Linked DNA regions of Elephas maximus indicus. The main gene of each other region encodes a partner of the protein of the gene in region 2 in a complex. Links are inferred from orthologs where the notes say so. Each region holds a gene or a part of one and is shown on either strand. Other genes may lie near its edges. The genes, in order: HJURP and CENPA.

Evidence for each region.
Region 1: the proteins of CENPA (region 2) and HJURP are in contact, whole or in part, in a crystal structure (PDB 3R45), measured with the Homo sapiens proteins. The link is inferred for Elephas maximus indicus from reciprocal best matches to the Homo sapiens genes CENPA and HJURP. Residues at the interface, in NP_001800.1 of Homo sapiens: Lys64, Leu65, Ser68, Arg69, Arg72, Asp83, Phe84, Asn85, Trp86, Gln87, Ala88, Gln89, Leu91, Leu92, Ala93, Glu96, Ala97, Ala100, Phe101, His104, Glu107, Asp108, Leu111, Leu112, Leu114, His115, Ile132, Glu136; in NP_060880.3 of Homo sapiens: Glu14, Asp15, Leu18, Lys21, Leu22, Ser25, Arg26, Arg28, Phe29, Arg32, Met33, Leu36, Lys39, Tyr40, Pro43, Phe44, Thr47, Pro48, Val49, Val50, Gln51, Met52, Ala53, Thr54, Leu55, Ile65, Trp66, Gly67.

The regions. Positions count from the first base shown.
Region 1 is NC_064824.1:136,090,989-136,106,166, forward strand, and holds the start of HJURP (Holliday junction recognition protein), read right to left. Parts: upstream 8,082-15,178; 5' UTR 8,058-8,081; coding exon 7,962-8,057; intron 7,395-7,961; coding exon 7,328-7,394; intron 4,265-7,327; coding exon 4,209-4,264; intron 2,506-4,208; coding exon 2,442-2,505; intron 96-2,441; coding exon 31-95; intron 1-30. UniProt on the Homo sapiens protein: Centromeric protein that plays a central role in the incorporation and maintenance of histone H3-like variant CENPA at centromeres.
Region 2 is NC_064830.1:45,048,722-45,064,260, forward strand, and holds CENPA (histone H3-like centromeric protein A), read left to right. Parts: upstream 1-7,987; 5' UTR 7,988-8,188; coding exon 8,189-8,276; intron 8,277-11,724; coding exon 11,725-11,834; intron 11,835-12,332; coding exon 12,333-12,410; intron 12,411-12,950; coding exon 12,951-13,085; 3' UTR 13,086-14,046; downstream 14,047-15,539. UniProt on the Homo sapiens protein: Histone H3-like nucleosomal protein that is specifically found in centromeric nucleosomes. Replaces conventional H3 in the nucleosome core of centromeric chromatin that serves as an assembly site for the inner kinetochore.

The DNA.
Region 1 (15,178 bases), on a different chromosome or scaffold from region 2:
TACCCACTCACTATAGAAGGCCGTTCTTACCATCACCGCCACGGCAACCTCGTCTCCCTGGTCAAAAGTTGCATCGAAGTCATTGTTTTTTGAATCTAAAAGGAAATTCCAATCAGAATTTCTAAGAATGCTTATAATTCTTCTCTCTTGAGGAGAGCTTTCATTTCGTTTAAGTACGTCCTACAGCAAAAACCCCATTGCTTCAAACATGCCACTCTTTAGTAAGGACATGGGCCCTCTGTGGCTGTTAGTGGTTACTACAGTAAAACCTGTGGAAGCCGGAACCCGTCCGTTTAAGGCGGAAACCTGTCAGAGAAGGAAAACTCAAATATTTTCTACTAATAGAGAGTGATAGAAAAGTGGTAAGACGGGGCAAGGACGAAAGGTAGGAGGGGACAGGAAAGCTGGACAAATGGAAATAGGAAATCCAAGATCAAGAAGGGGAGTGTTGACACGTTGCAGGACTGTCAACCAACGTCACAATGTTTATTAATTGTTTAATGAGAAACTAATTTGCTCTGTAAACCTTCACCTAAAGCGCACACACACACAAAAAGTGGTAAGACCACACCCTGTCAAAGGCGGGAAAACTTGTGAGACCCGGAAAAACAGGGCAGTCTCGTCAAATTCCAGCTCTTGCAGGTTTCACTGGAGCAACCCAGAACCTATCAGAACAGGAATATTCTCAGTGACAAAGATAAGAAAAAGCAGGTTTTATACCATCTCTCACTCTTTCAATCAACTCTGATTTGAGTAAAGTTGAGGCACCCTGGCCCAGTGCTGTCTGACAGAACTTCCTGTGATGATGGAAAGTTCTCTATCCGCTGTGTGATGAGGCAGCCAGTGAGGCTGAGGAATGGAATTTTAAATTAACTCAATTTTTGATTAATTTAAATAGGTGCATGTGGCTGGTGGTCGCCATATTGGACATTGCAGCTGGAAAGTATCAATTTCCAACTGTCTCAGGCAGTCCGGGAAATTCCAGGAACTGAGAATCGTGGAGCTCAGATCTGAATGAATGCCGGTAAACAAACATCTAGAAGTAAATATCTTTAACAGGTCTTTTTTCTAATTCTACTTTGAAAAACCATCGGTTCTCCTTATTTTCCAAACGGGAAGCCACTGTGGTATTTCACACAGAGAGGAGGCATGGTCCTGAGAGGGTGGCAGTGGGGAAGAGAGGCAGTGGATTTGAGACAGGAGGCAAAAGAAACAGGACAGTGATGTCTTGGATCCAGGGGAATGAAGGAGAGGCTGAGACACAGGACTGGATTTCCAGCTGATTCTACTGGGAAGACCATGGCGGAGGCTTGTTGGGTATGACTTATCCAAATGGCATATGCTGCAGGATCCAACCAGAGATGCTTACAGTAGTTAAGACACACCTAGACAAGGCTGGGCTGGAGACAAAGCCAGTAGAGAGAGGCTGATGCCATGGCCTCCCCAGAGAGGGGCTCAGACCAGCTCCTGAGAAAAAGCACCCTGCAAAGACGGGAGACAGGCCTGTAAGCGGGCTGAGAAGGAAGCATAGGAGAGGAAGGCGGAGACCCAGAGAACACAGCACCACTGAAGCTGGTGCCCCAGTGAGTGTCAAGGAGAAGTGTCGGATGCTACTGAGGGCAACGAGGATAAGAACCAAAGAATGCCAAACAGACTGGGCAGCACGGTGGTCAGGAACCTCACCAACACCACACTCAGGGACAGGGGCTGAGGCCAGATGCAGCCGGGTGAGGAGCCTGTGGGGCGGGAGAATGTTCCAAGCAGTGAACGCCATCACCCTTTAGGAAACCTGGCTGTGAGGGGGTAGAACAGAGAGAGGCAATTCAGATGGGACACGGGATGAGGAGACTGTCACGTTCTGTTTTACTGCCAGGCTGCCCCCAGGGCAGGGGAGAGTGGGCAGTGGACGGATTCCTGAGAAACCAGGCTGCGGCAGGGTCTAGGCAACACAACTGTTTGAGAGAACTGAGAGAAGGGGAAAGAAACCTCGATAAGAATGAGAAGGAAGGAAAGAGGGTTGCAGGGGCGGGCAGTTAGCGGTGGGAGGACTACCCCATAAAGGCAATTCTTAACTCTTATTAAAATTTTAACTTTTTATTTTCTAGGCAAAAAATTAAAAAAAAAAAAAAAAAAAAGGTAGGGAGTTATTCATTCATTCAAGAAATATCTGAGTCCTTTTATGTGTCAAGTACCGTGGATGAGACTGTGAGCAGGACACAGCTCCTTGTGCTCCACGGGCTTTACAAGCAGGTAAAAGGGCATGTAAGAATGTCTCAAGTTTTAAAAGCAAATCTCAATAAAAAATTAAGAACGAGGCACCAAGAATTTACAATCCCTTTTTTTTTCCACCTCAGCTTCACTGCAAACATTCCACTCACACGTACACCAAGGCACACGCACTCAAGTCAGGGTTCACCCACAGTGCGAGGGTGCTCACTGACCTTCAGACACAGCTCGCCCGGGGCTGTCCACCCAGCTGACCGGCGTCACAGGGGATCCCTCAACCTGCAGAAGAAAATGAAGACGTGCTCGTTTCGGTAATGAGATGCTACCAGGCTGCTGTAAAGTCTTAAGCCTACAATCTCTCCACAAGCAGACGTGAGGTTGGATATTCCACCAGCTTCTCTTCTCACACACCCCGCTGTAACAGGCCTCCATGCCCGACCAGGAGCCCCAGACGCCCCTCAGGAGAAGCAGCACTTTCGTCCTCTCCTTGTGCTGCTCAGCAAGTGAGCGATGGAGCTGGGAGGGTGAGAAGCAAAGACACCCGCGAAGGGCCTCTGCCCGCACACCCAAGCTAACCCTGGCCCACGCACATACAGCTGACAAGGGCTGCAGCATGCAGAGCCCAGGGGTCACCAGGCAGCATCTGGAAATATTCAAAAGGCTTCTAAGAGGCCTTCTCTGACATAAGGGTTAAGTCCCACTCCCTAAATGGGAATCAGCACTGTCACGGATTGAACTATGTCCCCCAGAAAAGGTTATCAATTTGGCTGGGCCATAATTTCCAGTATTCTGTGACTGTCCTCCCTTTTGTGATTGTAATTTTATGTTAACGAGGATTAAGGTGGGATTATAACACCCATGCTAAGGTCACCTCCCTGATCCAAGGTAAAGGGAGTTTCCTCTGGGTGTGGCCTGCACCTCCTTTTGTCTTATGAGAGATAAAAGGTTGAGACTACTTGGCACCTCCTCCCTGGAGGGGAGATGAGAGGGTAGAGTGGGTTAGAAGCTGGCAAAATGGACACGAAAAGAGAGTGGAGGGAGGGAGCAGTCTGTCTCATTAGGGGAAGAGTAACTTGGAGTATGTAGCAAGGTGTATATAAGTTTTTGTGTGAGAGACTGACTTGATTTGTAAATTTTCACTTAAAGCACAATAAAAATTAAAAAAAAAAAAAGAGAGATGAAAGGAAGCAGAGAGTGGGGTACCTCATACCATCAATAAAGCAGTGCCGGGAGCAGAGCATGTCCTTTGGACCTGGGGTCCTTGTGTGGAGAAGCTCCTAGTCCAGGGGAAGGTTAACAAGAAGGCCAACAGAGAAAGCCTTCCCCTTGAGCTGACGCCCTGAATTTGGACTTTCAGCCTACTTTACTGTGGAGAAATAAATTTCTGCTTGTTAAAGCAACCCACTTGTGGTATTTCTGTTATAGTAGCACTAGATGACTCGGAAAGGCATAGGCAGCGTGACCCTGTGCATATGGAGCCAGGGGGCATGTAACCAACACGCATGGAGCAGTTAGTTGTCCCCATCAGGAGCTCACATCATAGCTGGTCAGCCGTCTGCCCTCGAGGAGGCCATGACACTCTGCTCCCTAGAGCTTGAGCTACACCAGTGGCCCCGCTAATAATCATAATGAATGTCAGAAGTGGGATCCAATTAACCCGACCGGCCTATGGCAGAGCAAACACCAGGTTACATAGTGGGCTTTAAAACTATACAGGTCCTCCTTGTACTCAACAAGCAGCAGAAGAAATGCTTCTTAGTAAGTCATTGAAAACAGGAAAAAAAAAGAAAAAATAGAGGAGTCAAGGTGAGGATACCACCATGAAACAAACTGGAGGCCCTGCACAGAGTTCTGGAAGCTTCCGGTGCAGAGTAGCGGGGGTTGCAGCTCATGCCACATTCACATCAACATTCACACCACGGCTCACGTTGCATTCGCATCAACAGCAAGGCACGTTGGTGATCAGACTTGACATTGAATACCTGGATTTGTCCTTTGCTTCTTTCCTGTATCAGTCCTCCACCCCACAGTCTCAATCCTTAAGAAAAAAAATAAAAATCACCATGTCAGTAATCCTAAATGCTGAATTTCTATTCAACCTGCATTGAAAGGAAACCAGTGATGAGCAAAAGAAAGGGATCTTAAAACCAAGCCTGACTGCTGACACTCTGTTGCTGTTCATCCTTGTGAGCTTGAACTTTTTTTTTTTTTTTAATGAAGCCTGGATAAAAATTTGTCATTAATGAAAATCTCTCCTATCTAATAGACAGCAACTCTTCAAACTACATCACTGACCCCCAAAGTTAAATGAAAACAAGAAACACATGCCGGGTACTGCCCTCAAAATATATAGAGGACAATCTGTATGTGTGTGTTACACACACACACACAATACGGCAATGTATATGTACTGTATCTACAGAGTAGGGGCTTTTGGAGGACCATCTCTATATGTACAGAGCAAGCCCTAAGCACAGGGTAAACAGTGAGTTTTGGAATCAGGCACACATAGTCCCGCCACTCAGTTGCTAGCAGAACCTGGGCAATATACTTAATCTCTCCTTAAACCCCCATTTGTTCCCAGGTGAGTTCAAGTTACTGAGGAGGGATGATGTGGCTGCTGAGGCTGGAGATGCTTGTTAATGCTACCAGTGGCAGCAAACACTCATAGTGCTTGCCACATCCCAGCTCTAAGTGCTCCCCAAGTGTGTCAATAATTGGCATGAGGCTAATTTCTAACATGTGAAACCTTCTCATATCCCTGTACTTCTCCATCCCTGACACCAGCCACTCACATGGTGTGTTTTCTCTCTCTGCCCCTGGTGGGTTCTGTCATTCACTAGAATAACTCACAGAACTCATGGAGTCTACCTACACTAAAGAGAAAAACCAAACCTGTGGAGCTGTTTCCAACTCACAGTGACCCTACAGGACAGAGTAGAACTGCCCCACAGGGTTTCCAAGGCTGTAAATCTTTATGGAAGCAGACTGCCACATTTTTCTTCCGTAGAGTAGCTGGTGGGTTCTTTTGGTTAGCAGCCAAGCCCTAACCACTGTCCCACCAGGGCTCCTTCTACCTACACATATAATTAGAAAGGACACCTGGTAAGAGATACATCTGGCAAGGTCTGGGACGAGCCACACAAACCTTGCCATGCACAGCATGCTTTCTACTGGCTGGTGCTGTGAGGTGGGGTGCTGATTGGGCCATCCCCTCCCCTCACCCTCCCTACACTCAGATGCCAATGTGGATGTTCTCCCCACTACAGGATGCCCCCAGAGAGGATCTCCAATGTTCAGGGTCCCTTAGTAATTGGGGCCTCAATGAATACGCATGAAGGTGTCTTAGTGTATAGTTACCCTCAATCCAATCAATGATCATGCATGACTGACTGTACCATGCTCCTCCTTCCTGTGGCTTAGTGTGGGGGCGTGTGGCATGTGTAGTCCCTACTCAGTTGCACATGTTTCAGGGTTGCTGGTCTATTTTAGAAAACAAAAGGGCGCCCTGACTGCTTGAGAATTTCAGCTATTTTTTGAAACCAGAAAAACCAAAACCCACTGCTGTCGGTTGATTCCGACTCACAGCAACGCTACACCAGAGAGCAGAACTGCCTCATAGGGTTTCCAAGGAACAGCTGGTGGATTTCAACTTAGATCTTCTGGTTAGCAGCCACACTCTTAACCACTGCGTGCCACCAGGGAGTCACCAGGGCCTCCCTGTTTTCTGAAACGAGTGACAAATGGCCAATTCTAGTCCTTTGACCCACACCAAGTATACTCCTTTTTTTAGTGTTCACAGCAACCCACTTCCACACACTCTTTGGCGCTCCTAACATCTTCAGAGACAAGCACTCACCGAGTTCACTGTACGTACGCAAGCGAGGTGTGGACAGATCAGCTAAAAAGCCACAGAGTTAGGACTTCGCTTAAGGAGCAGGTCTTATGAACCGTTTTGTGCCTGCTTGTTTAACGTGCAGCAGGATCTGAGATCCGCTTTCATCATCATTACCTTTCTTTTATTATCAATGCCCATGCAAGCAGCAGTCAAGAAAGATTTGCATTGGGCAAATCTCCTGCAAAAGACCTCTTTAAGGTGTTAAAAAGCAACGATGTCACTTGAGGACTAAGGTGCACCTGACCCAAGCCATGGTGTTTTCAATCGCCTCATATGCATGTGAAAGCTGGACAATGAATAAGGAAAACAGAAGAAGAATTGACGCCTCTGAATTATGGTGTTGGCAAGGAATACTGAATATACCATGGACCGCCAGAAGTCTGTCTCAGAAGAAGTATAGCCAGAGAGCTCCTTGGAAGTGAGGATGATGAGACTTTGTCTCGCTTGCTTGGATTCAGGAAGAAATCAGTCCGTGGAGAAGCACATCATGCTTGGTAAAGTAGAGGGTCAGCAAAAGAGAAGAGGAACCTCAAGTAGGGTTGACACAGTGGCTGAAGCAATGGGCTCAAACATAGTAACGATTGCGAGGATGGTGCAGGACTGGGCAGTGTTTTGTTCTGTTGTACATAGGGTCGCTATGAGTCGGAAGTGACTCAACGGCACCTAACGACAACATCTTTGGTGGTGAGTTAGTAGTAAGGAGTAGTGAGAAGAGAGGAACTGACCTCATTCACAGCAGAGAATCAACGGGCAGCGGGCAATGCACTGACTTAGATCAGTTTGCAACACCATCGCTAAACAGAATGGCTCCTTTCCCATACTGGGATTAAGTTTCAAGTTATCAGAACCTCAAGGAGAACAGTTAATATTCAAAGTCAAACAAGACAAATGACAGTCAACGTAAGTGCTGGAGGGCACAGGTACTGTCCTAAGGGCTTCACCAGGACCCTAACTGTTACAATACCTATTTTACAGATGAGGAAACTGAGCCTCAGCCACGCTAAGCAACTCTCCCACGATGACAGGAGCATAAGTGTGAGCTGTGATGCCAACCCAGGCAGGTGCATTCTTAACCATCTATGTCTTCAGGAATTCATTTCTAGTCAGATGAACAAGGTTTATTTTCATAAAAGCACGGCCAGGATTTCAAAACTCTACAAGACGCTATTCACATTTTAAACCGAAATGAGAGTTAACTCCTACCTTGGGGCGTCTGGTAGGTCAGTGTGGCCATCTCCACCAGCACCGTGTCCTCGAAGGGATGGTTGTACTGCAGGGGACGGGGCGTCCCACTAGGTCAGACCTCCAGGCAACCTCTCCGCCCACCCCCAGTTAGTTCACAGTTACTGAATAGCTGGGCGGTTTTTCTACATCCCCTCAGTCCACATCCCTGCCTCCCTGCACCCTCCCCGCACCCCGTTCCCGGCCCGGCTCCCCCCTCTCAGCACCCTCCCTGCACCCGGTTCCCGGCCTGGCTCCCCCCTCTCCGCACCCTCCCCGCACCCGGTTCCCGGCCCGGGTCCCCCCTCTCCGCACCCTCCCCGCACCCCGTTCCCGGCCCGGCTCCCCCCTCTCCGCACCCTCCCTGCACCCGGTTCCCGGCCTGGCTCCCCCCTCTCCGCACCCTCCCTGCACCCGGTTCCCGGCCCGGCTCCCCCCTCTCCGCACCCTCCCTGCACCCGGTCCCGGACCTGCCTTCCCCCTTCGCATAGCCGGGTCCCGTCTCCCCGCGCCCTCCCTGCACCCAGGTCCCTGCACCCCAGCCCCCGACTCCCCCACCCTAGTCCCGCTAGCCTTGCGCCTGGCCACCCCTTCCAGCCGGAGCTGAGGGCCGTACCTTCTCTATCAGCTGCTGCATGCGCCTCTGGAAGCGATGGCGGCTGTCCTGGAGCTTCCGCGTCAGCTCGGCCTCCTCGCAGCCCTCGGCCGCCATGGCGCACAGGCTGCCGCCGCGAGTCCGGGCCGCCCGGAGAGCCGCTCCCGCCGCCGTTCAAATACGCTGCTCCCGCCCTCCTGCCATTCTCTGGCTTCCTATTGGCTGGTGCTGTGAGGCGGGCGCTGATTGGGCCTTTCAAACGTATACACGCGACTTCCTGCCGGCCAATCCGCCCCTGAGTCCCCGGCCCCGCCCCATCCGGTGGCGCGGGATTATAGGAAAGGCACGGAGGTGGGTGCGGGCGGGGGAGTGCCGCGGGGGAGCTCTTCCTGCCGTTCTGCGCCTATTAATTAACAATTCAACGGCAGCTCTTTGAGCTATGTATTATTAACCCATAGAGCCCGGGTGGTGCCTGCAGTTGCAGTTGGCTGCTAATCTGAAGTTTGGAGGTTCGAGCTGACTCAGTGGCTCAGTGAAAGAAAGGTCACGAACCAAGAAACCCCTATGGAGCAGTTATACTCTACCACATGGGGTCGCCATGAGATGGAATCCGCTCTGTCAACGACTAGCCTGGTGATAAATCTGTTCTGCCTCCTCTCTGACATCCAGGTTCTGGTGCCTTTCTCTGCTACCAGAGCAGTCTTTTTCAGTCTTTCTCTTTTAGATGGGAATGTCTTGGTGGTTCTTTTCTGATAACGCATCTTCAGCATAGATTATTTAAAACAACACAGCACCACACACCTGTTGGCATCAAGTCAATTCCAACTCACAGCGACCCTGCAGGACAGAGAGGAACTGCACCAGTTTCCAAGGAGTGTCTGGGGGATTCGAGCTATCGACCTTTTGGTTAGCAGCCATAGCTCTTAACCACTATGCCACCAGGGTTTCCAAAACAACACAGAGAAAGTAAAAATTACAGCCCCCCTCTAGTTTCCCACCTGAGCTAGTAATTTCATTAAGATTGGTTCAACCTTTCTCTATGCTTATATAAGCATATCCGACTCACAGCGACCCTGTAGGGCAGAGAAGAGCTGCCCCGTAGGGTTTCCAAGAAGCACCTGGTGGATTCGAACTGGTGACCTTTTGGTTAGTGGCTGTAGCTCTTAATCACTATGCCACCAGGGTTACGTGCTGTAGATTTGGCTCTGGCGACCCTATGATAACAGAACAAAATGTTGCAAGGTTTTCTTTTGCTTCTCCTCTAAGCCTTGGACAGCCTTCTCTTCTGTGACCCTCTACCCACGTAATAGCACCCCATTTCAAAACTTGCCTCTCCTAGGACTTGGTCCCCGGTCCTGGGACACTGCTGGGGTTTCTGCTCCAGGGCATTCCTGGCTGGCTTCACTGACTATCCCAGGAATCTGCCTCTGTTCCACGGGCTCATGGGCTGCTTCGGTAGAGAGAGTTCTCAAGGTAAAATTGAAGCAGGCCGTCATGAAAAGGTTATTAACCATCCCATAATAGTTGTTTTTCAAAAAAGTCTACTCTTGCTCCGTTTTTGTTACAATTTTCTTGTTTATCCTGGCAGGAGACCAAAGCACAGGCACACTGACTCTGAACCTACCCGCTTTCTGACCTTCCTGGGGTGGCAAGAGCGAGCCGTTGTCATTTTTTCAGGGCTGTGGGCAGTATTTTTAGAGCCATGTTCAAAAACCCATTCACTAAAATTTTGCGGACTGTGCGTGCATCACAAGACTGAAGATCCTCCCTTCACTGTTCATGCATATGAACGCCACTCCGCATAAAAGGAGCAAATCTGCCCTGATTCAGGGAGCTGGCAGCCTTAGGTCAGAGACCCTGCGTGCCTCCCAGTTTGCAAACTGGGTAAACCTTTCTGCTGGGAGCCAGGCTGCAAGGGCGGCCCCTCTGCACCCACTGCCCCCAGCATAAACATCAAAGAATCCCTGAAAAGTCAGGAGGAGCCAGGCTGCAAGGGCAGCCCCTCTGCACCCACTGCCCCCAGCATAAACATCAAAGAATCCCTGAAAAGTCAGGAGGAGCCAGGCTGCAAGGGCAGCCCCTCTGCACCCACTGCCCCCAGCATAAACATTGAAGAATTCCTGAAAAGTCAGGAAGAGCCAGGCTGCAAGGGCGGCCCCTCTGCACCCACTGCCCCTAGCATAAACATCGAAGAATTCCTGAAAAGTCAGGAATATCTCTGTCATCTGTGTTATGTTTCTATTTCATTTTCAGCCTGTGTATAGCAGAATGTATAAGCATAAAATTCCATTATAGATTTAGGGACCTTTGGACGGGGGGCGTCCTACTCATAATCCCCTGGTGAAATCTCGGGTAGGGACAGCCCGTGTGTTACTTGGGGATCAACATGAAGTTGTCTTAGGGGAAAAACAAATAGCTCGACTATGGAAAATAAGAATAGGATGGTGAAATCCTGGTATTTACCAAGGCCCTTTTGTGATTAAACCACCACCCACACATGACCCCATAAAAGTGGAAAAACAAAAGGCAGTGAGTTCTCTCAGCCAATTTCTCAGCCAATTACAGGTCAACCTTCTCGTCTACCCCGCTCACTGCTGCTCTTGACTGGTCTTTGGGTATAGAGATTGGGCTAATTGTCCTTGGCATAATCGTGGACAATATGACGTAACCCAAAGTGGCTGGACTTCAAAAATTTGGCCACCCTGGACAAAATGGACAAAGCCTATGTGGCAATGGTTTTTGCAAAAAGATTAATTATTATAAAAACTGTGGAAGGAATTGCAAGATTAAGCATAAAGTGTAAAGCAGTATGAAGTCAATTGTTACTTTGTGTAAAAATATATCAACAAAATATTCTCTTCAATTAAACAAAAATTCATTGTACTTGTGTGTGTATGCGGAACTGTACTATGTGTCACTTGGAAAATTATGTCTCTGGGAAATGATGTTTATGATTATATCTTGTACTGCCCCTTTATTGATCATGCGATGTTATGCTTTTGTAAGCTTATGATATAAAAGACCATGTAAAAAATAAAGAGCAGAAGGGCTTCTTTTTCTGCAGAAATGAAAATATAAGACACACTACCTCTCATTCTTTTTTTCGCCGAACTCTACCCCTCCTCTGGTAACCCTGTTCATTGCTGAGGCTGGCCCCCGGCACCTTTCTGTTCTTACAACCCTGCGTCTGGCTGACTTCAATTCGCTAGTCTGCTTGACAAAAACCTGTTAGTTGACAGCTTCGAAATCTTTAACTGAGAAAAAAAAAGACCCCCAAAATTCTGCTTTGCCAGTCCCCCCTTGAGCCAGCCTTAGCATGCATTGTCTCTGTCTGGCCAGCCCCTGGCCAAAGTGGCAGCCCAGCTGAGGAGGGAGGAACCCTGCATCACGCTCCTAATTTGAGGTCATTTTCCTACAACCTCCATCCACCGGTAACAGCCTAAGCATGTGACCTCAGGAACCCAGAACTGCTACAAAACTGCTTCCTCACCACTCCCCATCTCCATGAAACAGGGAAGCATTACAACTCAGCTCCTTCCTTGGCAGGGCAAGTGGCATGGGAAGTGGCTGGGTGCAGCCCCTGGGGGGCTCACAGGCTTCCTTAGGCAGTAGAGATGCAGGATCCCTTGCACAGCACCCTCTGCTGGCCTTGTTGGAACTTTCACCCTCAAAGATCTGTTCACAATTATGTAGACAGGAAATAATTTTCATCGGATTTTTTTTATAGCTACTCTCATAAAATGTGCCTGAATTTTGCTCAAAACAAACAAACAAATTCATTGCCGTCGAGTTGATTCCAACTCATAGAGTTCCTATGGGACAGAGCAGAACGGCCCCACAGGGTTTCCACGGAGCGCCTGGTGGAATCCAAATTGTTGACCTCGATGGGAATTTATTCTGCATAGAGTTGACATGTAAATGATATTGTGATGGAAAGGTGTGGAAATGTCATCATCAGTCTCTGGTTGGTTTTGGGTGGTCCCAGCGTTGACATAGAAACGACTATGTATCAGCAAAAACGTCTGAATGAACTATGTTAGCCCCACTTGTTAGGCTGCTAAGTAAAGGTTTTGCTGTCTTCTATTGCTCTGAGGCTGATGCAGAGAAGCTGTGAGATTGCTGGCAAAGAGCTGACTTTCCATGAGGTGTCAGCCAAAGCTCACAAAAGCAGAGCTGTTTGAAAATTCTTGTTTTTCTTTTCTCCTTCTCATTGGTGTTGCTGTCTTCAGAGTTACAGCCCTCGACCCATGTTACAGCTCTTTTAGGAGGTTCTTTGACTTCCCTCTCTCTGCTTCATCTCTCTTCTCTCGTTTTTCTCCTCTCTACTTCCTCTTGCTTACTGTCTTCTTGTTTCTTTTTGTCTTTGTGGGGTTGGCTGCATATATACCCACCACCCACACAACTCCTTGTCAATTTCAAGGCGGGGGCACAAACTGACCAATCAATCATGGGTAGGCCATAGACACTTCATTTGCATAGTAGACTATAGTCACCTCATTTACATACTCCATATTCACTTGATTTGCCTAGTCTATTGACCAGTCCCTGCAAGGTGCATACCAATCATAAGGCAGACAGACCACAGCCCAGGAACAGACAAAAAGTATCAAACCAAGTTGTTTACTGCTTACCCAGGAAATGTAACAAATCCTCTGGGGTAGAAAACTAGCACAAAGGTAACTTCTCAGGGCTTAGGGGGAAGATCTCTCAAGCTGCTTTCCCAAAAAACCAAGGAAAAGGCTGCATAGAGGAATGGATTTCACCACAGACACCAAAGGCAAAAAACATAAAAAAATATTTTTAAGTCTGTGAATATATAAAACTGAAAAATTTTATGAGAAAAAATACCTATGACAACTTTAATGGGATAACAATAGAACAGAAAAAGTAGTTCAATTATATATTTCAGAGCTAATAATATAAACACGTAAAGAGGAACATGAAAACCCCAATAGAGAAGAGGGCAAAGTTCATGAGTCAGCAATCAACAAAAGATGAAATACAAAACATACGAAATGTTCCACCTCTAAATCAAAAGTCATGAATCACAATTTTAAAACTATCAATTGTTGTTGTTGTGTGCCGTTGAGTCGATTCTGACTCATTGCGGCGTGTAGGACACAGTAGAACTGCCCTGTAGGTTTCCCAAGGATCAGCTGGTAGATTCAAACCGCTGACTTTTGGTTAGCAGCCTGAGCTCTTCACCACTGTGTCACCTAGAACAAGGAATATTGGTTAGGGTGTGAAGAAGTGAATATTCTCTTATACTTTGGGAAAGCATTAGTTTGTAAAATATTTATGGAGGTCAATTTGGTGGTACGTGTAAAACAGTCTTCAGACGTGACCATTCTTTGATTTAGTAAGTCTATTTTTTGAAATCAATCCTAAGTAAGTAAGAACCTCAGCAAGGTTTTAGCTGTGGGATCTTTAATGAAACACATTTTATAAAGTCCAATACTAGAAGGGTGGTTAAATAAATTGTGATAGAAATGTATTTATGTTTCCATTAACCATAATTTTGAAAAACTACTACTGGCATCTGAAATATATGGGTGGTACAAAGGGTTAATGCGCTCAGCTGTTAACCGAAAAGTTGGAGGTTAAGTTCACCCAGCGGTGCCTCGGAAGAAAGGCCTGAGAATCTACTAAAAAAATCAGCCAGTTCTACTCTGACACACATGGTGTTATTGTGAGTTGGAATCGACTAGACATCAACTGGTAAAGTGTATATGATTTTTTTGTGTATAAAAGGGGGTTGTAAGTATATGTATTATACATCTGCATCTGAAAAATACACATCATATATTTTGAAAATTCGAGTATGCATTTATCAAATTGTTTCCAAGTTTATCTCTTGATGATAGTATTATGGATTGTTTTTGATATTAGTTTTCCGTAGTTGCATTTTCTAGAATGAGCATGTGTTGTGTAATTAAGAACATGTATAATTTTCACCTTGCATGCAGAGACCTGTTTGATTCCCCGCCAATGCCTGTCATGTGTAGCCCCCACCTGTGTGTCAGCGGAGGCTTGTTTGTTGCTATAAAACTGAACAGGTTTCATTGACTTCCAGACTAAGACAGGTTAGGGAGAAGGCCTGGTGATCTGCTTCTGAAAATCATCCAGTGAGAACCCTATGGATCACACCATTTCGATCCACAACCCATCATGGGGATGGCGCAGGGCCAGGTAGTGTTCCGTTCAGGTGTGCATGGGGTCATCATGAGTTGGGGGCTGACTCAACAGCAGCTAATAACGATAACAACATTAAAGCAAAAAACCAAAACTTGCCATCAAGTTGATTCAGACTTATAGTGACCCTATAGGACAGAGTAAAATTGCCCCATAGGGTTTCCAAGGAGTGTATGGTGGATTCAAACAGCCATCCTTTTGGTTAGCAGCTGAGCACTTAACCACTGCATCACCAGGGCTCCAACAACAACATTGTTGTTGTAGTTGTGTGCTGTCAAGTTTATTCTGACTCATAGTGACCCTGTAGGACAGAGCACTGCCTCATAGGGTTTTCAAGGAGCGGCTGGTGATTTCAAACGGCTGACTTTTTAGTTAGCAGCTGAGCTCTTAGCTACTGTGCCGCCAGGGCTCCTATTAACAACGTTACTCATGTAATAAAAACACAGCAAAACCAATCATATGTTTCTACCAGGGCTTTGAACTGGTTCAAACCAGTTCGGTCATGATTGACGAAGTAAGACTGGAACAGATCTGAATTTTTAAAATTTGGGTAATCCAGAATGGGAAAAGTTATAGGTTTCAGCCCTGGAATGGGAAACTCAAAAGAGGTGTAGTGAGCCCTTTCGGGAGCCTGATGTGTGAGGCTGCATTACTGGCAGGACTGTGGAGAGAGACAGACATTCAAAGCGCCATCTTTGAGCAGGGCACCACTGTTTCCAACTCTGCTTGAAATCCAATGGGCAAGAGATTTGGTTGCTATGCAACACATATGCTGCCTCTGTTTTCTAAGACGGAGATTAAGTTTCCAACAGGGCTTCAACCAGTAAATTTTCCAGCTCTGATTATCATTTCAGTTCACCCAAATTTTGAAAATTTGGGTCTGTTCCAGTTTCAATTCCTTAGTTAGCCATGACTGAACCGGGGAAAACCAGTTCAAAGCCCTGGTTTTCAACTTGGCCTTCAAAATTAGAGACCATTTATCCAAATAAGACACACATGGCTTCAAATATTCTACAGGTGCTGTCACACTGCTGCACAACATATTA
Region 2 (15,539 bases):
GAGAAGCCTAAGTTTTGCCCCTATAGAAGTTTCCATTTGATACCCAGGACCAGAGATATAGTAAGCTTTTAACGGATGTGTCAAACCTGAATGTCATTCCACTTATAATTCTAGATGCCTCTTTCCAGTCAAATGATGCGCCCCAGGGATGATGAGTTTTCTTCAGCCATGAAAGTAAGCTGAGCCAACTCTACAACGTTTTCCCTTGTGTATGTCTCAAATTAAGATGTATATGTTGTGTGTAGGAGTCCTTGGGTGATGCAAATGTTAAGCACTCAACTGCTAGCTGAAAGTTTGGCAGTTCAAACCCACCCAGAGGAACCTTGGAAGACAGGCCTAGTGATCTGCTGCCGAAAGGTCACAGGCTTGAAAACCCTATGGAACAGTTCTACTTTGCACATATGGGGTCGTTATGAGTCAGAATCGACTCGACTGTAACTAACAACAACAATGTTGTGTTTGGCCTCTTGCCTCCTCACTCTGGGTTACTGAGGACCTCTTCTGGACCACATCCAGACAGTTGGCAGCATTGAGTACAGGACCCTATTTAAAGGGAAATTAAAATTAGGGACCCTGTCCTCTAGGAGGAAACCCTTGTGGCTTAATGGTTAAGAGCTACGGCTGCTAACCAAAACGTCAGTAGTTTGAGTCCACCAGGCTCTCCTTGGAAACCCTACGGGGCAGTTCTACTCTGTTCTTTAGGGTCAGTATGAGTCGGAATCGACTTGATGGCAACGGGTTTGGTTTTGGTCCTCCAGCAGATTGGAAATCTAAATTGGAGGAGAGAGGAAACAATTTCACTCTGCCTAGGTATGTGGACTTAAAAGAAAGGCATACCAAGAGTATGGACTGAGATTTCCTCAATTATAAATGAAGGGGTTACATTTCCAAACCATGTTTTAGTTTTATGAAGTGCTTTCAAACTTTTAATGATACTATAAGGCATGCACCATTATCACTATTTCGCAATAAGGAACTGAGACCTAGAGAGGTAAAGCATCTTGTTCAAGTTTCCACTGGTAGCCAGCTGCTAAGTGACAGAGCTGGAATTATACCCCAAGCCTTCTGAAACCTAGTTTCCAATGCCACAAAGCTCTCTCAAGCCTGTTCTGACTCTTAAAGTTTTATAAGTGTGCTATAAAAAATATTCCTACTTTCTGGAGAAAACAAAAACAAGCAGCCCTCCTTCAATTCACCCCCACTAAGCCCACAAACAGACCTGTATGTGGATCTTTAGTCTCTCTACCTTCCTTTACCTATTAAAGGCCAGTCTTTCCTTGGGCTCTACATCTCCCATTTCTCTGTTTTTCACAGAAAAAGTTCTTGAAAGAATTGTCTTCCTTCAAGCCTCTATTTCCTCAGCTCCACTCCAATCTGGTTTCCATCTGCACTCGTCCACTTAATCTGCTCTTATCAAGGTCACCAATGACCTCTGTGAAGCAAATCCAAAGGCTGATATTCTGAGTTCATCCTTCTTGACCTCTCAACAGCAGCATTTGATACAATTGGCCACTCCTTTGTTCTTGAAACACTTTCCTGACTTCTGTGACACTATATATTCCTGGTTTCCTTCTCCAACAAACCTCTAAATATTGAGCGTCCCTTTCTCCCTAGATAATCTCATCTAATGCTATGATTTTAAAAACCATTACGTGCTAATGATTCCCAAATTTATGTCTTCAAGCCCCAAACTCTCCCCTGAGCTCCAGGCTTATATCCAACTACCTATCTGACATCTCCACTTAGACAGCTATATAATGCGCATCTTAAACATAACATGCCCCAATACTCTTGATTTCCCCTTCAATTGGTTCCTCTCCCGGCCATCTCTACCTCACTAAATGGTTACAGAACATCTACTCAAAAAAAAAAAAAAACCCAAACCCATTGCTGTTGAGTCGATTCCAAGTCACAGCAACCCTATAGTACAGAGTAGAACTGCCCCATACAGTTTCCAAGGAGTGCCTAGTGGATTTGAACTGCTGACCTTTTGGTTAGCAGCCGTAGCTCTTAACCCCTACGCCACCAGTGTTTCCAACATCTACTTATGTGAGTCAAAAACCCAGGAGTCATCCTTGCTTCTTCCCCCATCCGTATCATTGGCGAGTGCTATGGGCTCACTTCCAGAATGTATCTCAAGACCATCTTTGCCCTCCTCCACTGCCATCACCCTTTTTTTTGGGGAGGGGAGCTAGGTTACTGCCATCACCCTGTCCCAGCCTCCGTGAGCTCAGGCCTGGACAACTCCTGCTTCATTGGAGTCTCTTCCTATTCCACCCATTTGCTTTCTACCCGGCAGCCTGAGCCATCTTTTAAATGTGAACAAGATCATGTCAACTCCCCTGCCTAAAATCACTTAGTGCTTCCCAGTGCAATTAGAATAAAATTCAGTCTCCTTACCCAGACCTTAAGAAGCCAGGGTGGTTCCGTGGTAGAATTCTCACCTTCCATGCCAAGTTCAGGGCCCCTGGTGGTGCAGTGATTAAGAGCTCGGCTGCTAACCAAAATGTTGCCAGTTCAAATCCACCAGCTGCTTCTTGGAAACCCTATGGGGCAGCTCTGCTCTGTTCTAAAGGGTTGCTATGAGTCGGAATCGATTCCATGGCAACAGGTACGGGTTTGGTTTCATGCCAGGTTCAAGGAGCCTTGGCGGTGCAGTGGTCAATTGCTCTGCTGATAACTTAATGGTTGGTGGTTTGAACCCACCAGCTGCTCCGCAGGAGAAAGATGTGACAGTCAGCTTCCATAAAGACCACAGTCTTAGAAACCCTATGGGCCAGTTCTAATCTGTCCTATAGCGGCATTATGAGTCGGAATTGACTTAAGGGCAATGGCAATGGGTCTCCATGCCTGGCTTGATTCCTGACCAGTGCTCCTCAAGTGCAGCTACCGCTTACATGTTGCTATGATTCTGAACCAGTCTCAGTGAAGCTTCCAGACTAAGATAGACTAGGAAAAAAGGCCTAGCAATCTACTTCTGAAAATCAGCCATGAAAACCCTATGGATCACAACCATCCAATCCCTTTGTGCATGGGATTACAATGAGCCTGGGGCCAGTTTGGTGGCAGCTAACAATAACAACAACCCTGACCTAAAGTCCCACTCTCCTCTCCCTGGCCACCTTTCCGTTTCTGGGAACATGCTAAACTCTTATCTTTCCACTTGTAGTTCCCTCTGCCTGGTGCATCCCCCCTCCCCCCACTTCTTCTTTCACTTGCTGGCTCCTTCTTATACATTAGACTTCAGCTCGAATCTCACCTTCACAGAGACTTTCCATGGCCACCTATCTAGAGTAGACCACTACCCCTACCCCAAGTTACTCTATCCAATCACTGAGTTTATTTTCATAATATGTAATAATTTTTTCATTAGTTTATTTATTATGCTTTCCCCCTCCCACCAGAACATAAGCATTATGAGGGCAAGGACCGTGTCTGTCCAATTTGCTGCATTATCCCCACCCCCTATATCAGTGCCTGGCACATAATAGATGCTCAATAATTGTCTGTTAAGTGAATCATGAAAATTGTGCAGACAAAAGTGATACGTTCTATGTCAGTGTTGTCCAATAGAAATACAATGTAAGCCACTGCTGTAATCTTAAATTTATACTTGTTAGCTGCCCTAGAGTTGGGCCCTACTCACGTCGATCCCGTATGTTACAGAGTAGGCACATTAGAAAAGTAAAAAGATACAAATAAAATTAATTTTAATATATTTTATTTAATGCAATATATCTAAGATGTTAAGGACCCCTGGTGGTGCAGTGGTTAAAGTGCTCAGCTGCTAACCGAAAAGTCCGTGATTAGAAGCCACCAGCTGCTCTGTAGGAGAAAGATGTGGCAGTCTGCTTCCATTAAGATTTACAGCCTTGGAAACCCTATGGGGCAGTTCTGCTCTGTTCTATAGGGTGGCTGTGAGTTGGAATCCACTTGACAGCAATGACTGGTTGGGTTTGGGTTTTGGGTATCTAAGATATTATTGTTTCAACATGTAAGCGATATAACAAATTAATAATAAGATATTTGGTATTAACTTTTTGTACTAAGTGTTCAAAACTCAGTATGTATTTCACACTTACATCACTTCAGATTGAGCAACCACATTTCAAGTGCTCAAGAGCCACATGTGGCTAGTGCCTTCCATCCTGGACAGTTCAGCTCTGTGTCGTTGTTGTTTGCTGCCATCCAGGAGGCCCCTGACTCATGGGAACTCCATGTGTTACAAAGCAGAACTGTTCCATAGGGTTTTCTAGGCCATAATCTTTATGGAAAGAGCCCTGAGGGTGCAGTGGTTAAGCCTCAGCTGATAATGGAAAGGTCAGTGGCTCAAAAGATCACAGCCTTGGAAACCCTACTCTGTCCTATAGGGTCGTTATGAGTCGGAATCGACTCGACAGCCACTGATTTAGTTTGGTTTTGGTAATCTTTACAGAAACGGATTCCCCAGGCTTTTTCTTCCTCAGAGTCCCTGGGTGGGTTTGAACAGCCAACCTTTCTGTTAGCAACCAATCGCAAACCACTTGCCCCATCTAGGGCTAATAAAAATTCACTTTCCTTAGCTAAGAGAATTTATAAGAGTGCATTACCACTAGCTGGTCCTCCTCTCCACTCTTTCAATTCTCCCCCTGCTGTCTTCAGCCACACAGCTGGGGGAGAGGGGATAAACCAAAAAACCAAACCCATTGCCATTGAGTAGATTCTGACTCATAGCAACCATATAGGGCAGAGTAGAACTGCCCCATAGAGTTTTCAAGGAGCGCCTGTGGATGTGAACTGCCAACCTTTTGGTTAGCAGCTGCAGCACTTAGCCACCACACCACCAGGGTTTCCAGAGGTCGTATGGTGTCTGAGAAATGTTTTACTTAATTAGTGGGCAGCTTGTACTCTAGCTGAGAGGGCAGAATTAAATTTCTGAGTTTTAGATATTGTACCCTAATGTCCTTTCCCGTCTTCCCCACTGTCCTGTCAGAGAAATTGTGTAGTCATAGAACAAGTAATGTTAGATCTGACTTAGCAACCTAATTAAAAAAAAAGAAAAATGCATAACGAATCTGTGGCTCAGCAAAGTAACAGTGACTTTCCTGAGATTACACAGGTTCCATCAACCCCCACACCCTCACCCTCTAGTCCCCATCCACCTTCTTCTGATGAGGTCACTAATCGCCCATCCCTACATCTAGCCAAACAGGGTAACCTTTGCTCTCCAAATGACCTCCGCTGGTTTGCCTCTTCTCAGGCTGTGATCTTTGTTTGACACACCATTCCTCCGTCCCCTCAGTCCCACCTTCCCAAATCCCTCCCAATCACCATGATTCTGCTCTACCTTCTTGAGGAAGACTCCCAAATACCCTCAACCTCAATACCCTCCACCCAAGAGTTTCCCCCAATTCCCTCTTCATGGCGCGGTGTCATATCCCTCATCATTTTCATGATAATAGCTTTAGCAAATGCTTGTTCTTCCTTCTTGTCAACACTTCATCACAATTCAAACCTTCAGCAAAGGTTTGCATCACCACTTCAGTGCTTGCTGACTGCTTTAATTTTTTTCTTACGCATTATTCTGTTTCACACTCTCAAATACCTCTAGATGACTCTTATTATCCCCATTTACAGATGAGAAAACTGAAGCTTAGAGAAATTCAGTAACTTGCCTTCACACCTAGGGGCAGGTCTGACTTCCCTTACTTCAAAAGACCACACTCTTAAACACTGTAACATGTGCATAATTGAAATCACTGATTTTTTAATTAATATTTTTCCTGATTATAGTACAAGCTCAGTGTGGATCATTTAGAAAATGCAAGAAAGCAAAGTGTAGAAAATTAAATCCCCTTTTTTTCTAAGACATGAACTGAATTCATATTATCCCCTAACAGGACAAGATGGAGCCAAGGAAATTAGAAGAAGTCATTAAGTCAAAAGTGTGATCCAAGAATAGCGATGAGGCCTGCCCCGCCCGAAACTCATGGCCAGAAGCCTGGTGATCCTGGTTGTCCCCTGGGCCCTAATAGTCAATAAAGCTTATGCAGTGAAACGACTTCTGAGTCATATTTAGAGGGTGTTCACGAAAGAGTCACAGGCACAACATGGAATTGTCATATCCCAGTGGGGTCACTAGGGTTGGTGTCAGCTAGTGTGGTAACTCATTGTGTCTCCCCTCTGCACCAAGGACTTTGGCTTTGGCCAAAATTTTTTTTTAAAAAGCCCTTCTCTCTTTTTATTCCATAGCTTTTACATTTTATAACATTTAAATAGAATCTTCTTAAGCAAAGATATGCAGTACTTTTCTCACAGGTTTCCTTAAAAAGTAAAATCTGGGGAACATCTACATCGGGTGGCTAGGGAATGCCTTTTGAGCCCAGCAGTGATTAGCTCCCTCTGCCTCACTGTGAGGGATACTGTGCTGCTGCCTCAGACTGGGGAATTCCTCATGCTTCTTACTTGCTGGGTGCCATGGATGTCAATTCCCATGAGAAGGCATCCTCTGTAGAGGGAGCTTCCCCAGTAGTTATAGGCATGGCAGCTGCCTTTATTGAGCTTTTCTAATGGATCAGGGATAAGGACTATTCTTAAAAGAACAAGAGTGCATTACGTGGGTTAGTGTCACCCAGTGCAGTAACTCATAGTGTCACCCCTCACCCTGCATGGACCTCATCCTGTACCAGACCATACAGAATCCACAGTAATGTTTTTGTACTCATGCTACTTGTAAATCGTAATTCTGTATATCACTACTTCTTTTCCTTTAGTTACTACTTCATTCTCAAAAAATGTTTTGATATAGGTTCACAAATACTAATTACCACAATATTGTAGCTAAAATATCAGAAAATTTGACAAAATCGACGACTATAAAAACACTGGCAACAATGAAAACAACAGCACATCCTTGTTGCACGGTATAGACAAAACTACGTGATTCCAAGCGTCATCATAATTGGATAACAATGACAGCTCTGACCGGAGTGCATTAACCCCAAACCAAACCCATTACTCTTGAGTGGATTCTGACTCATAATGATCCTACAGGACAGAGTAGAACTGAGCCATAGGGTTTCCAAGGAGTGGCTGGTGGATTCGAACTTCCAACCTGTTGGTTAGCAGCCAAACACTTAACCACTGAGCCACCGGGGCTTCAAGAGTGCGTTTGCACGTTCAGAAAGTAAATTAGCATGGAGTTTCAGCCTTGTAGATATATTGATACATATAAGCTGGGCTTACAAAAAAGTTTTTGTTGTTATAACTACAGGGATTTTTTAAATAAAATAATAAATTTCTGCTGAAACACTGCGCAAAAATTTTATAGACAGTCATTTTGGTGTCACCTTCTCCGGCAGTGTCACCTGGTAGAGTCAGCACTTCCCACCCCTCAACCCTGCTCCCAGTGACGTCACTGCGTACTCCCTGTGGACCTCACTTTCCTCATCTTCAAATGCTAATTTACAGGGTTGATAGGGCCAAACATAAAATGTCTAAGGAAAGTAATTTTTTTTTAGAGAAACGCGTTCTACAAACGCATTTTTCAAATTGAGCTTGCTCTGTTTGAGCATCGAAGCCCTGGTGGCACAGTATTAAGGCGATTCACTGCCAACTGAACGGTTGGCGGTTTGAAACCACCAGCGGCTCTGTGGGAGAAAGATGTGGCCAACTGCTTTTTACAGATTTACAGCCTTGGAAACCCTATGGGGTGGCTACGAGTCTGAACCGACTCCACGGCAGTGAGTTCGGTTTGGGGCTTTGACCAGCGGTCACACTGAACGAGCGATCTGACTGCTCAGAGAACACCCTCACGAACGAGCCGCGGCAGGAGAAATTCCCGCCTTCTTTCACTTCGCCAAGTGTCGGTTGGTCGGTTTCACCGTCGATCCCGGCCCTCCTCCTATCACCGCCCCGCTGCGTTCCCGCCGGCCTGTGTTCTCATTGGTCCACCCCGCAGCCTTCTACGCCATGGGCGTTCCAGAGTCAGCCACTGGGAGTAGCTGAATTTGGGTTTAAAAAACGCCGGTAGTGAAGTAGCCGCAGCGAACGTTTTGAACGGGGATTCAGCGTTGTCTACCCTCCGAGCGACAGCTTCTCGGACCCACGCGGCCCTGGGCTCTCGGACGCCAGCCTTTCGCCCCCGAAGCCCGTGGAGTGGGGCCGCACGCTTGGCTCGGGGCCGAGCGCCGACCCCTCCGGCCCAGCCATGGGCCCGCGCCGCAGGCGCCGCAAGCCGGAAACCCCGCGGAGGCGCAGCCCGAGCCCGACGCCCCCGGCCCCGCGGCGGCCCTCAGGTAACCGGGCCGCGGCCCCTTTCCCTCCGAGCCGACTTGCAGCCCGTCTGTGAGGCAGGCACGGCCGGTCCGCGTCACAGACAGGGAAGGGCACTCGCGTGCCGGGCTGGAGCTGCGGTAGAGCCGGTGTCGCCCGCCTCCCGGCCCAGTGGCCTTTCTCCGCAAGGGGCCGAGCGGCCCTGCCATCGGGCAGGGGTCCCGGGAGCGGCCGAGGGGCTGGACAAGGAAAGGACTGCATTCTCTTTATTGTTTATTGAGCCCTTACCCCTAACAGCTCGGAAGAAAGGCCTGGTGATCTACTGTCCCAAAATCGGTCATTCATGGGGTTGCCATCAGCCTGAATCAACTAACTCCACGGCAACTGTTTTGAGTTTCGTTTTAACCACTAACTAACAAGGCATTGTGCTAAGCTCTTTAGGTACATTATCTCAACTGTATATTGTCCCTATTGTACCGATGAGAAAACTGAGGCCCGATGACTTGAGCAAAGTCACCCAGCTTGTTCCAGGAGATACGGGATTTTTAAAAATCTGTGTTTGTGCTTTTTAAAATTGCGTAAGTATTGGCGGCTTTCAGTAACAATTTCAAACGCAATCCTGCTCTTAGAAGGGATCTTTCCAGGGTTGTTTTCTTCAGTGAGTGGCAGTGTTGGCGCTGAGCCAAGCCCGCTAACTCCAAGAGCTCTCACTCTGTTCCCTTCCATAAGTTGTGTCCCTGGGAAGGAGGACCGAGTTGTGGTCCTCAGTTTCTGTCCTGTGGATGGGTGGCAGCAACTGCTTTACTTATCTTCTAACTCTTGTTCTATAGCCAAAAAAAAATCCAAACCTGATGCCGTCGAGTGGATTCCAACTCATAGCAACTGTTTAGCTTATAGCTAAGGGCAGGGTGAAAAATGAGTGTATTATAGGTTATATAGAGAGGCTGCAGTTGTGATTGGGGTTTTTCTTTCCTAAAACATAACCTTTGCATCCAGCCACCTTGCTGAATTCTCTTGTTCATCCTAATAGTCTTTTAGTTGCTTTAATTGAAATTTTTGAGTAGACCATTATATTGTCTACAAATAATGACTTTTATATTCCTTTTTAAGTTCTATGTGTTTTTATTTATGTTTTCTTATTGTATTAGCGAGGCCCTGAGGCTAATATCGAAATAAGAGTAGTGCTTTGGCTATCTTCGTTCCTGATTTTAACAGGAATATTATTAAGTATGATATTATCTGTTGCTTTCTTATGTAGAAGCATCCTTCCACTCCAGACTAAAAGTTTTTTCTCAAATGGGCACTGAACACTTCTGCACGGGCCCTTGGTCAGATCCTCCTCTCACCTTCTCAGAGCCTTTCTGTTACCCTTTCTACCTGTGCTTGGAATTCAAGCTCCTTGTATTTTTTCCTCCATAACTGAGATGCTTCTGGTATTGGTTATTTTGTTTGCTGAGCTTGGTTCCTTTCATGCTGTTGGCTTTCTTAAGTTGTTTGATGAGTTTTAGTCGTGTCCATCTTTACATTTTCTGTGACTGCCCTTACCTGTTTACTAAAGGCGGCCTCCAGGCACTGGATGGCTGACTGGTGCAGGGGAGGGGTGGATGCCAGTTGTTTATCTCCTGGGTCTGGGGCCACCTTCTTTCTCCTAAATGTTACTAGTCACCTGGACACTGCTCTGTTTCTTTGGTCCACATTCCCTAACCAGGGATAAAATCTCCACTGCCAGCCATTGGCTCAACTCCCAACTCATGGTAACCCCACGCACAGTAGAACGAAATGCTGCCTGTTCCTTTGCCATCCTATCATCCGTCTGGGATCTGACTGTAATTAGCTGACTTTCAGCAGTAGATCGTCAGGCTTTTCTTCTTACTCAGTCACAGTCTGGAAGCTCCATTGAAACCTGTCTAGCATCATAGCAACACGCAAGCCTCAGATGGATGGTGGCTGCCATGAGGTCCACTGGCTGGGAATTGAACCCAGGTCTCCTGTGTGGAATGTGAGAACTCTCCCACTGAACCACCGCTGCCCCCACCCACTGCCCAGCACAAGCCATCTCTGGATTGCCTTGCCTTCCCCCACTTGCTCTTCAGCTCTTCTGACAACTTTATGATTAGTTTGCCGTTTTAAAACCCTTCTATTGAACTATTTGTGGGTTCTCTTTTCTTGACTGGACCTTAAACAACATTTCAGAAGTTAATTTTGTTCTTCAAGATGTTAGTTTCTGTAGATTGTATTTTTTTTATTTTTTTATGCAAAGTTTTAAACTTATCCGAGATTTGTCCATTTTATTGGTCATTGATTTTATTTATTGAGCAACTGTACTACTTTTTTTTTTAATTAATTTTTATTGTGCTTTAAGTGGAAGTTTACAAATCAGGTCAGTCTCATACAAAAATTTACATACATCTTGCCATACACTCCTAATTGCTTTCCCTCTGTTGAGATAGCACAGTTCTTCCCTCCACTTTCTGTCCTTGTGTCCGTTCGTGTAGCTTCTGGCCCCCTATGCCCTCTCATCTCCCCTATATTTTTTGTTTATTCTTTTTCATTTATGTTGCATTACCTTTAATACTTCTTTTGCTCTAATGTTCTCTTTGTAACACATGAGTTGAATGCTTAGCTCCACTATTTAATGTTCTTGTTTTGTAATAGGTATATTTTCAGATCACATGTTTTTCTCTAGTAATACTTTCACTGTATCTCATAGGTTTTGAGGTATAGACTTTTTATTGTTGTTCATTTCTAAATTGTCTAATTTCAGTTAGATTTCCTCTTTAACATGTTATTTAGAAGAATTATTTTCTCATATTCTTGTGTTTCTAATTCCTAGTGTCAATATAGTTGGTCAGAGAATTTGGATTTTATGATTTCTACTTTGGGGGATGATTTTAAAGTTTTTTTTTTTTTTCTGGCTGGAACCAGGATTTGACCAAAGACTGTGACTCAGTGTACTGGCACTGAGCCGTGCCACTTCTGAGGTCCCAACTCAGCCACCAATGAGCCTTGACCAAGTATCTTCATCTCTCTGGGCCTCAGAATAACCAAGACAAGGAAATTGTACTAGACACTCTCTCAGATTCCTTCCAGCTCAATAGAAAACTAAAAATAACTGAGTTTCCAATCTAAGTGGGTAAGGCTTAAGAGATGCACAGTCTTGTAGGACCCAGAGGAGGGAGACTACTCATCAGTTTGGAGGGGATCAGGATTTTGGAAAGGTTTCATGGGAGAGTTGGCATTTGAGATAAACCTCAAAGGATCATTGATGCATTCACTTAGCAAATATTCGTTTGGCGCCTATCTGTTGTTTCCTAGGTACTGGGGATAATAGCAGAGAATAAAATAGACAAAAACCTCTGCTGTTGTGGAGCATAGCACTGTCTAATGATTTCACAGCTTCCCTGTCTCAGCCAGGCTGTGAGGCACTACTTATTTTCCACTGGACTTTTATGACCCAACTCTTTTGCCCAGGCGCTTCCTCTCGTCGGCGTGGCCAGTGGAGACCTCGGGTTTTGAAGGAGATCCGAAAGCTTCAGAAGAGCACAGACCTATTGCTAAGGAAGAGGCCCTTCGGCCTCCTGGTGAGCTCCAGGGAACTGTCTGCCAACCCCTATGCCACCCTACTTTCTTTAGATTTCCCAGGTATCCAGGAGCTTACTATCTCCTGCCTGAATGTTGAGGGACCTCTTTTCTAATCTGGTAGGGGATACTCTTCATCTTCTGAAAACATGAGCCCTCCAAAATTACCTTCTAATTCTTTATGGAATTAATTTCTAACCCCCAGTATCTTTGAAACTGGGCTCTTTGATTATATAAATAGAAATTCTTTCATCTACCCACCTTTTGGTTTCTTTCCCTACCCTGAGAGATGACGTCCTCATCTCCCTCCCCACCACCAATGGGAGACATATCAGTTCCTGTAGTCACTGCTACTGAGTTAGGTCCTGCCAGGAAGGAATAATGAAAATGAGAATTCATTGGAAACTCTTGGAGAGAGTCGTCTTCCTTTGAATCTCTTTTACGCTCTACTCCTCTCCCTTTCCCCTTCTCCACTCGTCCCTATCCCAACTCCTTCGCAGGCAAGAGAAGTATGTGCTTTTTTCACTCGTGGTGTGGACTTCAATTGGCAAGCCCAGGCCCTGTTGGCCCTGCAAGAGGTAAGAAAGGGCAAGGCACAGTTGGGTGAGGGGTGGGTGTGGGAAAGGAGGACTTCTTGAATTCCACATGCTTACCAGGACATAAGGAGCCCTGGTGGCACAGTGGTTAAAGTGCTTGGCTGCTAACTGAAAGGTTGGTGATTGAAACCCACCAGCCGCTCTGTGAGAGAAAGATGTGGCAGCCTGCTTCCATGAAGATTACAGCCTTGGAAACCCTATGAGGCATTTCTCTTCTGTCCTGTAGAGTCACTGTGAGTCAGGATGGCCTTGATGGCAACAAATTTTGATCAGGACATGGCTGACTAGATTGTCACAAGCTGAATCTTGTCCCCTTGAAAAGAGCAAGAAGTTAACACCCAAGATTTTGGAAGCTGGATCCTTGTTTGATGGCAGCAAAACTCCCAGGCACAGTTTAGTCTCATTCTGTGAATAACCTTTCTTACAGTCTTTGAGCCCTCAGAGACTAAGTTAGCAGGTCCTGAAGAAAAAAAGCAGTCCGTACCCCCTCATCTGTGTTAGCCTTTCTCTTTCTATTCTCAGGCGGCAGAAGCATTTCTAGTTCACCTCTTTGAGGATGCATATCTCCTCTCCTTACATGCCGGCCGCGTTACTCTTTATCCAAAGGATGTGCAACTGGCCAGGAGGATCCGAGGCATTCAGGAAGGACTCGGCTGAGCTGCACCACTGTATCTGTAAGCCTTTCCTGCCCACCCAAAGGGCGAGTGCACTTTGGAGAGAAAACATCCAGCTTCTCATCTTGGGTGGGAGTTTCTCCAAAGGAATTTCCCTTCTTCATCCTTAGTCCTGCGCTATCTTGCCTCTTCTCTAGAAAAGTCTGCAGTTGGTTTTAACTGCTTGGAACTCTGGCTCATGCCTTTTTGTACAATGTTAAATAAAGATGTTTTTCTATTAAGTAATGACTAGGACAACCTGAATCTCTGGCAGAGTAAAGCCTCTCCTTTTTACAAGGACCAGATACCTCATTTTTATTATGAGAATTTTTTCTTAATTTCAGAAATACCAGGGACTCTCTGGAGCTGTGGCCAGATCCATGGAGCCTGAGGGGCTGTCTCTGGGGCAGTATGACTGTATGGCTTTTTTTTTTTTTTTTAAGAAGGTGAAGACTACATGGTTTCCTCTGTAACAGAGGTAATATGTGAGGCACTCAACGTAGTCCCAGAGGCCTGAGAATTATTTTTAGATGAGAGACTCCAAGGATGACCTCAGTTTGTGAATTATTCAAATGACCATTTTCATGATTTGGAAAAGTGGATTTGCCGGATTCTAGGAGAAAAGGAGATTTACTTATTATTTTAGACCTTTCTGTATTATTTACGGCTTTTACCATATGTATATTTACTTTTATTTGAAACTTAAGGGAAAAAATACAAGAAGACCACTTCAGTCATTTGCATAGAAGGGCCTGGCATGTCTGGCATATAAACTGTACCCTTCAGGTTAATCTCATCTTTAGTGGCAGCATCAACTTAGTGAGTGGACTGTCCTGTCAACAAGTTTATAGCTTTTCAAAACTTTAATTGTGGCTGACATAAAAAACGTTTAAGGTTTGATGTTCTAGTTCTTTCCAGTAAGTTCCTATTGAAATTATTCAGAAATTCTAACTTGTAGAATTTAGCATGTCCTTCTTTAAATCACAAAAGATGTATAATAATTTATGCTTTATAACCAGTATTTTAAGATGCTTTTTCAATTGTTTTATAGATATATTTGTAACTTCTTTGTAGAGAGATAATAAATATAGTTCTTTAGTGAAAAAATTTAAAATAAAGATTAACCAATTATATTGTATATATATGTATATTTTCTTTTGGGGGGAGAGAATATTTTAACATTAAGCTGTATTATTTTGTACTGTTTGCAAACCTAAACAAGAATTGAGGAAAGTATTTGTGCCTCCAGTGGAGGAGATTTTAAAACCTTGTGTTTCTGTTGTACCTGAAAGCCATTTAAGAGATGTCCAGAAAAATGAGAAGTGCCACCCAAAGATTTTAGATTTTGTGTGTGGTGAAAAATGATTAGGGAGAACAGAATACTGATGATGACATGTTAGTCACCTGAATTCAAAGACAGACTAAAGGACAGGACCAAGTTCTATTGTTTAATAAACAAATTTTAACCCTTCAGAAAAACTTCTCACTGTTCCACATCAACTCATATTTATGTAGACATTGAAATAAAGCTTATTGATCCATGAATATGTTGAAAGTTCTTATCAGTATCATAAATTAGATCATAGTCTTCCACTGGTTTTCTTTAAATTGACACTTCTCTGTTCAAATTGTGCTGACTAATATCCAAACCCATTGCCATCAAGTGGATTCCGATTCATAGCAACCCCATAGGGTTTCCAAGGCTGTAAGTCTTTATGGAAGCAGACTGCCACGTATTTCTCCTGAGGAGCAGCTGGTGGGTTCAAAACACTGACCTTTTGGTTAATAACCAAGTGCTTTAACCACGGTGCCACCAGGACTGTGTACGAACCAGTACACCACTATAATACATGTATGTCACACCAAAGTGCCAGGCAGGACGCATGCTCTTGCTCGGGCACCACGTAGTATTTATATAGTTACATGAGAATTGAGTTACCTCATGATATGTTACATAACAGTGTTGCTGTTTACTGTAAATTTTGAGCACTTTGCTGTTGTTTGTATCCTCTTTCCGGGTTATTTCATCATTATCCTCTTTCCATCGAATTTTTCTATTTTCATATTTTTAGTATCGGAGAATTCTTTGTTGTTGTTTAATATTTTATTAAGGTGAAAGTTTACACAGCAAATTAAGTTCCCACTGAACAATTTCTACAGAAATTATTCAGTGATACTGGTTTCATTTTTCACAATGTGTCATCATTCCCATTAATTCCATTGTGGTCGTACCAATTCCGGTACTCTAGTTTCCCTACCCCTCCTCTCCCCCCCGCCCCCCCACCTCCTCCACTTTGCTTTAGAGTAATTTTTGACCATTTGGTCTTCTATAGGTAATTTTTTTTTAGGGAGCTCGTTACTCACAGTGATATTCTTTATTTTATAAGCCAATCTGTTATTTAGCTAAAAGGTGACCTCAAGGGATAATTTCAGTTCAAAGTTTATGGAGTATCTCATG